Caenorhabditis elegans: one gene and its partner. The protein of the gene in region 1 interacts with the protein of each later gene in a biochemical or structural test. Each region holds a gene or a part of one and is shown in the gene's direction. Other genes may lie near its edges.

The links. The genes of interacting proteins can lie anywhere in the genome.
Region 2: the proteins of fbf-1 (region 1) and gld-3 form a complex in vitro, tested with the Caenorhabditis elegans proteins (one study listed by BioGRID).

What each region holds. Positions count from the first base shown.
Region 1 is NC_003280.10:6,077,758-6,082,748, reverse strand, and holds fbf-1 (Fem-3 mRNA-binding factor 1), read left to right. Parts: upstream 1-1,905; 5' UTR 1,906-2,028; coding exon 2,029-2,070; intron 2,071-2,116; coding exon 2,117-2,350; intron 2,351-2,398; coding exon 2,399-2,568; intron 2,569-2,620; coding exon 2,621-2,873; intron 2,874-2,916; coding exon 2,917-3,530; intron 3,531-3,578; coding exon 3,579-3,707; intron 3,708-3,752; coding exon 3,753-3,956; intron 3,957-4,000; coding exon 4,001-4,199; 3' UTR 4,200-4,486; downstream 4,487-4,991. Other genes in the region: H12I13.6 (uncharacterized protein), read right to left, coding at 4,514-4,665, 4,739-4,814. UniProt on the Caenorhabditis elegans protein: RNA-binding protein that binds to the consensus sequence 5'-UGUGCCAUA-3' in mRNA 3'-UTRs. Involved in the control of stem cells and sex determination in the C.elegans hermaphrodite germline.
Region 2 is NC_003280.10:7,130,671-7,138,027, forward strand, and holds gld-3 (Defective in germ line development protein 3), read left to right. Parts: upstream 1-1,972; coding exon 1,973-2,097; intron 2,098-2,145; coding exon 2,146-2,227; intron 2,228-2,268; coding exon 2,269-2,379; intron 2,380-2,424; coding exon 2,425-2,495; intron 2,496-2,537; coding exon 2,538-2,703; intron 2,704-2,747; coding exon 2,748-2,876; intron 2,877-2,920; coding exon 2,921-3,040; intron 3,041-3,086; coding exon 3,087-3,164; intron 3,165-3,208; coding exon 3,209-3,346; intron 3,347-3,393; coding exon 3,394-3,636; intron 3,637-3,684; coding exon 3,685-3,783; intron 3,784-3,831; coding exon 3,832-4,000; intron 4,001-4,142; coding exon 4,143-4,265; intron 4,266-4,309; coding exon 4,310-4,378; coding exon of another isoform or gene 4,379-4,467; exon of another isoform or gene 4,468-4,657; intron 4,658-4,713; coding exon 4,714-4,791; intron 4,792-4,835; coding exon 4,836-5,075; intron 5,076-5,122; coding exon 5,123-5,549; intron 5,550-5,668; coding exon 5,669-6,041; intron 6,042-6,085; coding exon 6,086-6,134; and 4 more. Other genes in the region: T07F8.4 (ELM2 domain-containing protein), read right to left, coding at 27-204, 246-307, 360-712, 760-955, 1,005-1,114, 1,157-1,213, 1,265-1,346. UniProt on the Caenorhabditis elegans protein: Required maternally for germline survival and embryogenesis. Forms a complex with gls-1 which promotes the oogenic cell fate by freeing the translational repressor fbf to repress sperm promoting factors.

The sequences.
Region 1 (4,991 bases):
CGTACTCAAAATTAAAATCAAATTCTGAAATTTCTGAGCCTTTCTTTGCAGATGAAACGTTTTTCCCTGTTTTCCGGAAGTTCTCGAGCAACATAAATATCTACAAACTATGGAACAAACGGCCTTCATTCCGAGATGACAAACTTTTTGGTGGCAAAGGTTCTTTGGGGGCATAGTATCCAAGGAGACAAAGTATCCAGTAGACAAACTGGGGTGTATCTTGGGGGGCATATCTTTGGTGACAACCTTTTTTTCAACTAGATTTTTATATGTATTTTTCAACTAATTTTTGTTCACATTTTTCTGGAATAAGTTTTTTAATGCAATTTTCAATCGATTATCGGTTATAATTCCCTCACAATTAAATGTATGAACGATGGTCTTTTGGGAAAAGCTGTAAAAGGTCCAACTAACTTGGAATATCGTGAGGCTCTTCCTGATGGTCTGATCCTTCAGCTCCGAGGGATCACATAGGTACCTTCTGATGTTCTGATCCTTCAGAAAAGAAGGATCGTAAGGGTACCTCCTGATGGTCTGATCCTTCAGCTCCAAAGGATCACGAGGCTCTTCCTGATGTTCTGATCCTTCAGCTCCGAAGGATCACATGGGTACCTTCTGATGTTCTGATCCTTCAGATAAGAAGGATCGTAAGGGTACCTCCTGATGGTCTGATCCTTCAGCTCCAAAGGATCACGAGGCTCTTCCTGATGTTCTGATCCTTCAGCTCCGAAGGATCCGACGTCATCATCTCGAAGAATCTTACGATATTCCAAGTTAGTTGGACGTTTTACAGCATTTTCCCAAAAGATCATTGTTCATGCATTCAATTGTGAGTAGTCAAGGCCGAAAATCCATGGAAAATTGCATTTAAAAACTTATTCCAGTAAAATATGAACAAAAAATGGTCAAGAAATATATATAAAAAAACTAGTTGAAAAAGTTTGTCACCGAAGATACGCCCGGTCAGAGACAAATGGCACTTTGTCGACTGGATACCATGTCACTTTGGATACTTTGTCCCCAAAAATACCTTGCCACCCTAAAAGTTTGTCCCCTCGGAATGAGGGCCAGTTACCAGTGGCCATAATCGTGTGATTATTATTTGGGATGTTCGAAGTGTTTGCTCCGCCCTTTCTGGATCACAATAGACAATTGCTTCTTCTACTTCTTGAATGTCTCATAATTCTTCTTATTTTTATCTAATTTATTGCTTCTCCTTTCTATTTTGTATATTAACTCCCAAAAACGCCCATTCTTCCCCAAAACCATCTAAAACTTACCAATATTTCCCGATACCCCTGACAGGTTATCCTGAATAATGATTGTGATTCTCAAATTTCTTCTAATCCCGTTAATTCCCCAAATATTCGAATGTAACTTTTTTTGGAATTTTTTTGTTTTCTAGTTTATAAATAAACAATATGTTTGAAAAACAATCGTAATTTGCGTTTTAGATGGTTAAACGGTAGGAAGCTTAAGCTTCCTACAACATCCAAATACAATGCAATATTTTCTGAAATTCTAAATATCAAAACATCATCCGGAATATGGAGATTTAATGCAACTCTATAGAGGTTTATGGGGACTTAGTCTTCTGGAAATTGAATTATGTGATTATGAATTAATTTTAAAAAAACCAATCCCAATCATACGATCGTCGACGACGATCGTCCCTCGCGTCTCGCGAGAGCCAACTGGTTATAGCTTTTCGGGAGGTTTAAATGTTTTATCAATTTTATACGGTACGGTCTGGAATATTCCACAATTTTTTATCTGTTTTAACAGAGAATATCTCTCCATGGAGATGCTAAAATTTTGAGAGATAAATAAGCAAATCGCATTGTTTGAAAATTTCAATTTGGATACGGTAGACAATGACAAAGTACGCAAACACCAGAGTATGTGACACACTTTCGTCATTCTCAAATTCAATTTGAAATATTATTTTCTTATTCCTATTCTCTATTTTCTGTGAATTGATAGTTTTTCTATAAGTAACCATTCGAATAAAATTATCAACTAATCGACATGGACCAATCAAAAATGCGCTATACAAATCAGTTCAGAAAAGTTGGTTTTCAGCCATTAATATTGATAAATGGCCTAAATTTTACAGACTCCGCAAAAGCCCACATCTACAGAGGTTGGAAATCATCATACTCCCGCACATTCGCCGATGGCGCAGCATGAGACATCAATGTGGAACTTCAACTCTCTCAACCCGTATTTCTCAATGCTCAATATGAACGATGGGATGAATTATGCTCGCCATCAACAGAATCACATTGTTACATCGCGGCCACCAACCCCGCTAACTGATTTGATGAGCCTCCGGAGTTTTCAGAGCTTTGTAAGTTAGAGTAGCTAATTTTTGGTTGTTTTCATTACTGATTTGCAGCCCAATGTGTTCATGCCGGTCTCGCGTAGCCGAACTTCATCATTCATTCAGTCTGATACGGATTCCTCGCGTCTCGAGCCGGACGATTTTTCACAAAATGTCCGATATTGCTCTACCGAGATTGATCGTAACAATAGTTCTTCGAAAAATGACCATTTGAAATATTCGAGGTTCGAATTAATTTATCACTATCCTCAAGTGTTTATTCTGTTTTATTTATAGACCCGCTCTATCGAGGAACTCTAGATCATTCACAAGATCAAACAATGTGCTGCCAACCTGGTCCTTGGATTCCAATGGTGAAATGCGTTCAAGATTGTCGCTCTCTGAAGTTTTGGATAGTGGCGATTTGATGAAGTTTGCCGTTGACAAAACTGGGTGCCAGTTCCTCGAAAAGGCCGTGAAGGGCAGCCTGACATCTTATCAGAAGTTCCAATTGTTTGAACAAGTTATTGGGAGAAAAGATGATTTCCTTGTAAGTTTTAGTTTCTGCGAGCACACACGACTTTTCTTTTCAGAAATTGAGCACGAACATCTTTGGAAATTATTTCGTACAAGAAATCATTGGAATGTCATTGACAACTTATGATGACGACAACATAAAGCGACAAGAAAAGTTGAAGAACTTCATCAGTTCCCAAATGACAGATATGTGCTTGGACAAATTTGCGTGTCGTGTTATCCAATCCAGTCTCCAGAACATGGATTTATCCCTTGCGTGTAAACTTGTTCAAGCTCTACCTCGTGATGCTCGTCTTATCGCAATCTGTGTTGATCAAAATGCCAATCACGTCATTCAGAAAGTCGTAGCTGTCATCCCACTGAAGAATTGGGAGTTTATCGTGGATTTTGTTGCAACCCCAGAGCACCTCCGTCAGATTTGTTTTGATAAGTATGGGTGCCGTGTTGTGCAAACTATAATCGAAAAACTCACTGCTGATTCAATAAACGTTGATTTAACTTCCGCTGCTCAACATCTTCGTGAACGAGCACTCCAACGCCTCATGACTTCTGTGACTAATCGGTGCCAAGAATTAGCTACGAACGAGTATGCCAATTACATAATACAGCATATTGTATCCAATGATGATCTGGCCGTATATCGGGAATGTATCATAGAGAAATGCCTCATGTGAGTGTTGTTTAATATATATTTGATTTTTAATCATTAATATTTCAGGCGCAATCTTCTTTCGTTATCCCAGGAAAAGTTTGCGTCTCATGTTGTAGAGAAAGCATTCCTACATGCACCAATGGAACTTCTTGCTGAAATGATGGACGAGATTTTCGACGGATACATGCCACACCCGTAAAAATTTCGTTTCAGTCACATAAAAATTAAATTGTTTTTCAGGGGCACTGGAAAAGATGCTCTCGATATCATGATGTTCCATCAATTCGGAAACTACGTCGTTCAATGCATGCTGACTATTTGCTGTGATGCTGTGTCTGGAAGACGACAAACGAAAGAAGGGAGCTATGACCATGCAAACTCATTCCAAGTTTGGCTCAAAAAGTTGCACTCGAGAGTTACGAAAGAAAGGCATCGCTTGTCAAGGTTATCACTATTGTCACAATAATATTTTGAAATTCGAATTTCAGGTTCTCATCCGGCAAAAAGATGATCGAGACGCTTGCCCATCTCCGTTCAACTCATCCGATTTATGGACTCCAATCTTCGGGACATGAATCATTCAAGACGGATTGCTTCAGTACTGCTTCCGAACACGATGGTCTAGAGTTGGAGAAGAATGGAATCGAGGAAGGTAACCTGAGGCTCATGCGAACTTTCTCACCATAAATCTCATCCCACCCACTTATGTTCTGTTGTTTTGTAATATTTTAAACTGTTGCAATGGTTTCGTTTCGATTTTAAGATCGATGTTGTGCCATCCCCACCCTTATCATTGCCCAGTTTTGTTTTTTCTTTTCTTTTTTGTTGTTTTATTGCTTTTCATGCAGTTGTGTTATTGTTTCTTTCTGTTTATTGTTCATTGTTTTGTTTTTTTTTTTCGAATTTAATGAATCCAGATAAATTTGGACACGAAAACTCTAAAAATTAAATAAAATTATTTCAACACTAAAATAATTCATTACGCAAAAACAACAAACAAATTATTCGAAGATTTCCTCTCGTTGACGCCAGGTAGAGTTGGCGTCGTCGTTCTCCATGTAAACCATTGATGTTGGAATTGTGGGGCGAGCCTCCACGCCTGGCGGTGGTCTTCTCGGTGCGAACATCATCGACCCACCAATCTCCTCTTCGACTGAAAACACAGAGTATTTAAAATAAAATGAGAATGAAAGGTAAGTTCCTCCCAATTACTTCAGTAAACTCGCCTTTTTTAGCCTTAAATTTTCCGCAGTTCACCAATACGGCAGCAGTGAGAATAACAGAACAGACGAGAAACAGCATCTGTAAATAAATTTGATTTCAATCTCTACTCTTCAGCACTTATACTATAAGTGTTGTACTTCTATGAGTTTCATTGGATAAGTGTCTATTCGGAATAGTCTCGCTGCACTTTATTCTCTACAGTAATCTTACATTAGAGTATACGCGAGAAATGGAGAGTGCTGCGAGAACTAGAAT
Region 2 (7,357 bases), 1.1 Mb from region 1:
AAAAGTAAAAAAATAGTTCCCTAGTTTTAGTTCGTAAGAGTTGATGGCTCCTCTGAAGTAGATGGCTCGGAGAAGGAGGCTTCAACAAATCCAGTTTGACCATTTTGATCTTCCAGTTGAGCTACTTGCTGATGCCATGCAGCAGATAAATGAGGCTGAACTACTGGCGCATGCTGTGGATGAGCGTCCCGCCAAACTCGATAGCTGAAATAAATTATTAAAATTTGAAATCGTCGTTCTCTCACCCAGGGGTTAATTTCCATTGATAGTAGTATTCGATAAGTTCTCCAACTTTCCGGTAGGGTAGCTAAAATAAAACATTATGAAAACTTTTTGAATTTGCAAAATATACAACTAACCCGTAGTCTCCTTATCAGCGAAAAATCTTTTCCATACAGCTCGAGTGACTCTTCAAATGCCTTTGCTTCACTCTCATCGAATCCCAATGCATCTGAGCGAACAGTGCGGAATGGGGCATTTATATGAGGAAAAGGGAATGATTCTTTCGCCTTTTCTGTGTCAAAGTTGCTTCTATACAAAGCACATAGAGCGTCCTCGTCGTCTCGTGATTCGGTGCCAGCTGGTGGACATGGTTGGTCGTGGGCTTTTCGTAAGCCTACTACATCTTTGAGATAGTTGTCAATAACTTCATCACTTGGCTGATTCGTCTGATCAATTGTCCATAAAATAGTGTCATCTTCTCGAGCAGATTCTGAAGAAATAAATCGATATAGAATCAAAAATCAGATCATTGCTTACCTTCAACCGTTGCTTCATTAAAAAGCGGGACGTCGGCTTGGAAAAGTACTGGATCCACACGAATACTTCTTTTCCATGGGTCTGGCGGTGGTGCATAGTCGTCATCATCGTCGTCGAAGCCACTCATTGAATTACCCATATCGAAAATTGTTGAGTCGTGCGGTTCTGCAGCAGCCGAACTTGATTCCCCTACATTCTGAAAAATATAAACATTTTATAATTTCACTTTATCATTTGTAAATTACTTCTTCGGCGATTTCCGTATCTTCATTGTTTGCAGATGAATTTTCCGCTGGACGATAGCCATACTTACGTTGAAGTTCTTCAATTGACATTTCTCCCTCATCTTCCAAGTCTGAAAAGAAAAATGAGTCAGAAGCAAATTAAAGAAATTCACCTTTCAATTCATCTTCGTAGTCCCCTTCATCTAGAAGCTCCTCCTCTTCAATTGTCGCTGGAAAACCATACGTTGAAGAAATTTGAAAAAATATATATATAAGCATACCTTCATAGTCTTCGCCATTATCATTATCGTCTACATAATCTTCTTCATCAGTGATAGACGAACGAGAACCCTCTTCATCCATATTCAAAGCCTGGAAACTAACAAAAGTTGTATTAAAAACGGAAAAAGCGAAAATAAGTTAAAGCGGTTTGCGCGTCGACTAAGACGTAATTCTCTGTGTGCGGTGTTTGCGGACTTGTTTACAGTAGCTCGCAAAATAAAAAATGATGCAAAGCCAATGGGTGTTTCTAAAAAAGGGGAAGTTAATTTTGAAAAAGTAGAAAGCAACACAGATATAACAAAATAGTATAACAATTTATTAAAATGTAATTCAAATGTTCAGTCTGTTAAATGAAGCCGCCCCTAATATTAGGCAGCTAATCAAATTTAAAAAGTACAGTAACCAAGAAAGTTTTCAGAAAGGCGCATTACCGAAATCGAGCAGGTCTTACAACGTTCTTCAAGGAGATTGTTTGGCGCCCAATTCCTCGAACACACGTTCAGCGTGATTTTCAGTGTGTTTTCTCATTTGTTTTCGTGCAATTTCATCCTTATAATGCTAATATTATCTGTAATTAATCGTTCCACGATGATACTAATACCAGTAACATCGACGGAGGCACTGACGATCATTTATAAAATATTTGAAACTCAAAAAATTTACTGAGCAAACGCTTTAGTGTTAGAAACAAGATTTCAATTTTGCAGATGGGGGAGCAAAGCCATGAAAAAGATCATGATGAAGCGCACTCCTACAATCCATTCGTTCGCTCTGCCGTTGAATACGATGCTGACACACGCCTCCAAATGGCAGAAAATGCGGCATCTGCAAGGTATTAAATATGGTTTACGCTTACAACATTCTAATACTCCGATTTTAGAAAACTATTTGTATCGTCTGCCCTCAAAGATATTATCGTGAATCCTGAAAACTTCTATCATGATTTCCAGCAATCTGCACAGGTAAAGGCAACAACTTGTTATGTTACAGTCAAACAATTCAGATGGCGGAGGATGCTAATCAGAGACGACAGGTGTCATACAACACGAAACGAGAGGCTCATATTCATCAGCTAAAAGCGCAAGGATTGCCTCTGCCGTCAAATATACCAATGGTTTGACTGCTTCACATTCCACTGATTAACTGATTCAACATTTAGATCGAGATTAACCCAACTAGAGTAACCCTCAATATGGAGTTTGAATCCCAATACTATTCACTAATGACCAGGTTAGTTCACCAGTTAAGCGAAAGAAATTGTATTCATTTCAGTGACAACGGGGATCACGAGAATGTCGCGTCAATCATGGCAGAAACTAACACCCTCATTCAACTTCCCGATCGTTCTGTCGGAGGAACTACACCTGATCCATTTGCACAGCAAGTAACCATCACTGGATACTTTGGTGACGTGGATAGAGCACGAATGTTGATGAGAGTACGTTCAACTCTGATTATATGAATAATGTTCGTATTTTACAGAGAAACTGTCATTTTACAGTTTTTATGGCACTGTCAAAAATGAAGATGCCACTTCACGAACTTCAGGCACATGTCAGACAGAACCCCATTCAAAATGTGGAAATGTCTTTCGTCGATGCTCCAGAAAAGGCAAGCCGATTTAGCTAGTAACCAACAGTATTAATTTTCTTCAGAATGGAATCGTCACAACCTATCTTCGTATCACCGCCCGCGAAAAGAATCAGCATGAACTGATCGAAGCTGCAAAACGACTGAATGAAATACTTTTCCGCGAGTCTCCGGCACCGGAGAATGTTAGCAGATAAACTGAATATATATCCTGAACATTTTGTTTTTCAGAATTTCACTCTCCATTTCACATTGTCAACATACTACGTGGATCAAGTTCTTGGAAGTTCATCGACGGCGCAACTCATGGTTTGGCTAAAGGATATTTCTATTACATCAGCATTAAATTTCAGCCTGTAATCGAGAGGGAGACAACGACAATAATTAGTTATCCATGTTACAATAATCGAAACGAAACTCGTGGAAATATTTATGAAATTAAAGTTGTTGGGAACATTGACAATGTTCTTAAAGCCAGGAGATACATAATGGTGAGGAGTATGAATACATAGAAAGATATACACTCGAGAATTTACAGGACCTCCTTCCTATTTCGATGTGTTTCAACATTAAAAATACTGATATGGCAGAACCGAGCAGAGTTTCTGATCGGAACATACACATGATTATTGATGAGAGTGGGATTATTCTTAAAATGACTCCTTCCGTGTATGAGCCCGCGGATCTACTGTCAGGAGAGGTTCCGTTGAACTGTGCCAGTCTTCGTTCGAAGGAGTTTAACATAAAGAAGCTGTACACCGCTTATCAAAAAGTTCTCTCGGTAAGCGCACGTCTCTCTGAAATGAGATTAAGAACAAGTAATTTTCAGAAAAAATTTGATTTCATTGCTCCACAACCAAATGATTATGACAACTCCATCTGGCATCATTCTCTTCCGGCAAACTTTTTGAAAAATTTCAATATGCCGGTTAGTCATGTTTATTTTACATTTTAGTTCAAAACGAGATTTTTTCAGTGTCGGGGTGAACTTTCTGATGGTTCAAACGGTCGTCGTCATAGAAGCTCATCAATAGCTTCTTCTCGTTCCAAACACAGTTACATGAGCAAAGGAAAACAATTTTCTGAGTCGTCTGGGGGTCCATCAAGGTCTCACACAAGAGTATCTTCGTTTTCCGAAAATTCATGTGAGCAATTTGCCTTTTATGATTGTAAATAGTACACACAAATTATACTATAAAATTATTTAAGAAAAGCATATCAAATTTATTTAAATAACAATGATAATAATATTACTACAGAGTGCTTTAAAATCAGGAAATTTTGCAGCAACCGTCCCTATTATGCAATTTCCAACGCCACATTTTGCACCACCAATGTTAACTCCTCATCATCACATGCTGAAATACGTCTATTTGCAGCAACATCAGCAAGCTCAGACATTTTTGAAAGGTTGCTATTATATATTTTGTTTCGACAATCATACAAGCTTTCAGGTGCAGCTGGATTACATCCTGGCACACATATCATGTTCCCTCCACCGATCATCGTCGATGGATCCTTTGGTGCGCGTTATTCTTCAAATATTTATCCATTTTCTTACATAGTTCCACAGAACTTTAACTTTTTGAACGGAAATTTCGGTCACCTTTAGAAGATCTCTCGTCATGTTATATATTCATCGTGTAAAATGAGCTCTTCATGAAAAATTTGCCAAATTCTGGATAGTTTTAAGCCACAAAATTTTCTCTTGTTCCTCCTACCGCCACTATGTAATATTTGTCTTTTCACCCGGTTGTGATGATCTTATTACGTAAATTCAACCACAATAAAGCGTTTAGCTTCCATCAATATTCTATGTCTTCGTAAAAATTATCATTATTGAAATTTTGTGTTTCAGTGTCTGCTCTGCCATTTGCGGATCCTGTAGTATTTGATGGTTTTCCTTATGTCCACGGATTGTTTCCGGTAAATGAAGGTTGGTTTATTCGTTCAAAGCATCATTGCAACAATCACTTTCAGCCGAACAACACAGAAATCACCGTGAATCATCACCATCTCTACGATCAACACAAGAAATCAGAAAACCGTCTAGAAACATGGGAAATCGACCATCATCGAGCACAGGTTCTTATTATCCATCGACAACACCTCGTCAACGTGTTTACGAACAAGTTCGAGAAGATGATCTTCGTTCACATATTGGTTCAAGAAGAACATCAGTGAATGGAGACGATCAGAATGTTGAAAGCATGCACGACCGTAAGACTATGACAATAATAAAATTGATAAAATCATAATTATTACAGAAGGATATGAAAGACAGTACCCACGACAGCATCAAAGACTTCAGAAGGATGATCAACAACGCTGGAAGACAGGAAGTCGTGGAGATATTCACTCAAGTAGAACAATTAATGTGCACAGAGACGTTCGCAATTCCAATGAATACGACTTTCATGTGGGAAATTCTGGGCCAGCTAAGAGGTCCCCGTCTTTGGAACAAGTACAATTGCAAATGACACACCACTTGAAGTTGAAATCGAATGATGTTGATTTGGATCATGAAAAGCTTTATATGCATGAGTCACCGCACAATGATTCTGATACTACAGTTTCTGCAAGTGGCTTCGGAAATGATTTAATGGATGGAGACTTTGTTCAGAGATTCCTATCCAATGCAAATATCAATGAATCGGGAAGAAGACCAAGAACAGTTAGCTGTTTTACCGAGAAGTACGTTTTTAAAGTTGAAATTAAAAGAGTTTATAGCTTTTCGTTTACATCATAAATGAGCATTTTTAATTTGCAAAAAATACATATTTAAGCATTCATATAATCAAAACATTTTACAGAGATGGTCAATCCGCCCGATACATCGATTCTGATGGTGCATACAGCGTTGTTGATCATGCATCCACACATCAATCTCGTTCATATGATAGCTTCAGAAAAGTTGGCGACAACGGAGTCACAAAAACCATATTGGAACCACGTGCTCGAGTAGAGAAAGATTATGGCAAAATAAGCCTAGAACACAAGACGAAATACTCAAATGAGTACGGTGATGAAGAGAAGTCAGCAGAAAATGATACGTCTTCGTTGGGATCTAGACAATACAGAATTGATCCAATGAAGTTAATAGCTAGTGTTCGTGAATCGAGTGAGCAACTACCACGTATTCATGAAAGGCAGTTTAGCGATGTTCTGAATGAAAAAGAAAAAGAGGCAAGTAGTCTATTGGCTTGCCATAATTATCTGTAAAGCTTCAGATCGCCGACAAAAGTATTGAATCTACAGTAACCCAAGATCTTTCGTTAGGTTTGTAAATCCACAATTGGCTAATTAACATACATATATTTCAGACGAAACATCTACATATTGAGAAATCGGGATTTTTCCAATAGCTTCTTCTACTTCTTACATCAATTTTCGCTATATATGAACCCTATTTGTGCATATCGTATACGGCTCCATCAATTTTTATCTTACAAACCATCCATTTGCCTGTCGAGAATATCTTTGTATCCACGGGACTTATACGACTAGGCCGATGGTTGGTGCTTAGCCTTCACAGTTCTACACTTATTTTAACCGAAATTATTTTCCAATTCTTCCCGTATTATTTCATTGTTGTCACCTCTTCGTTCGTCATTTTTCTATCTTTTCATTCCTTTTGCAGACGTTGGAAGCATAGGTAACATGAAAAATTAAATGAATTCACAATGAAATTCAGAATTTTCGTGCATCTATACTTCCAATTGCAATTTATGGCACTGTCGATGTTCCCTTCCCTATATTTAATGTTCTTCCTTTTTTCTCCCATAATTCCCAGTTGTTTTTGATCGCAATATTGTCCCGGGTCCCATCATATCTAGGTTTGTTTCAATGTATTCCATCTTTCCTTTCTTTTTTCATCACTTCATATACACTACCACTTTTATTGTCTTTTCTTTTTTTTTCGTCATTCAACTAGGATTTCATTAGCAGTTTATCCCAATTTCCTCTACAGTTCTGTTTATAAATGAAAGAATTGCGGAAATATTGTTGTTAATCACATCTTATCGTCCGACAACTTTCGATTCAGCAAGGACATGTTCATTGATAATGTTCTAAATTTCTAATATGGAAAGTCTCTTGGTCGTTCAAATCCTCGCCATAGTCTTCATACAAGTGGAAGATTTTGATTTTAGAAAGACTAAAATTAATTCGTCTCACTTGAATGTAGCGATAAAAGGATAGAAGAAACAAAAAAATTTTTCCTGAATTTCCCTGAATCGATACACTTTCTCCATATAATCGTAAAGCGAGGTCTCTCTTTTTTCTTGAAACGGACTGTCCATTGGAGGCACTTATTTCTTGAAATGAGCCAATCTTCGACCGCCTGACTCTACTCACTCCATAATTTCATCTGCATCATCTTCTTTTCCCAAACCAAAAAATGTGTATTCTTATTCAAAACGACGCTTGTTTTTTTTAATACGGAAAGAAGATTTGATGACAGACTTCCTTGGATTTTTCGTTAATATGTATATGTGTAAATT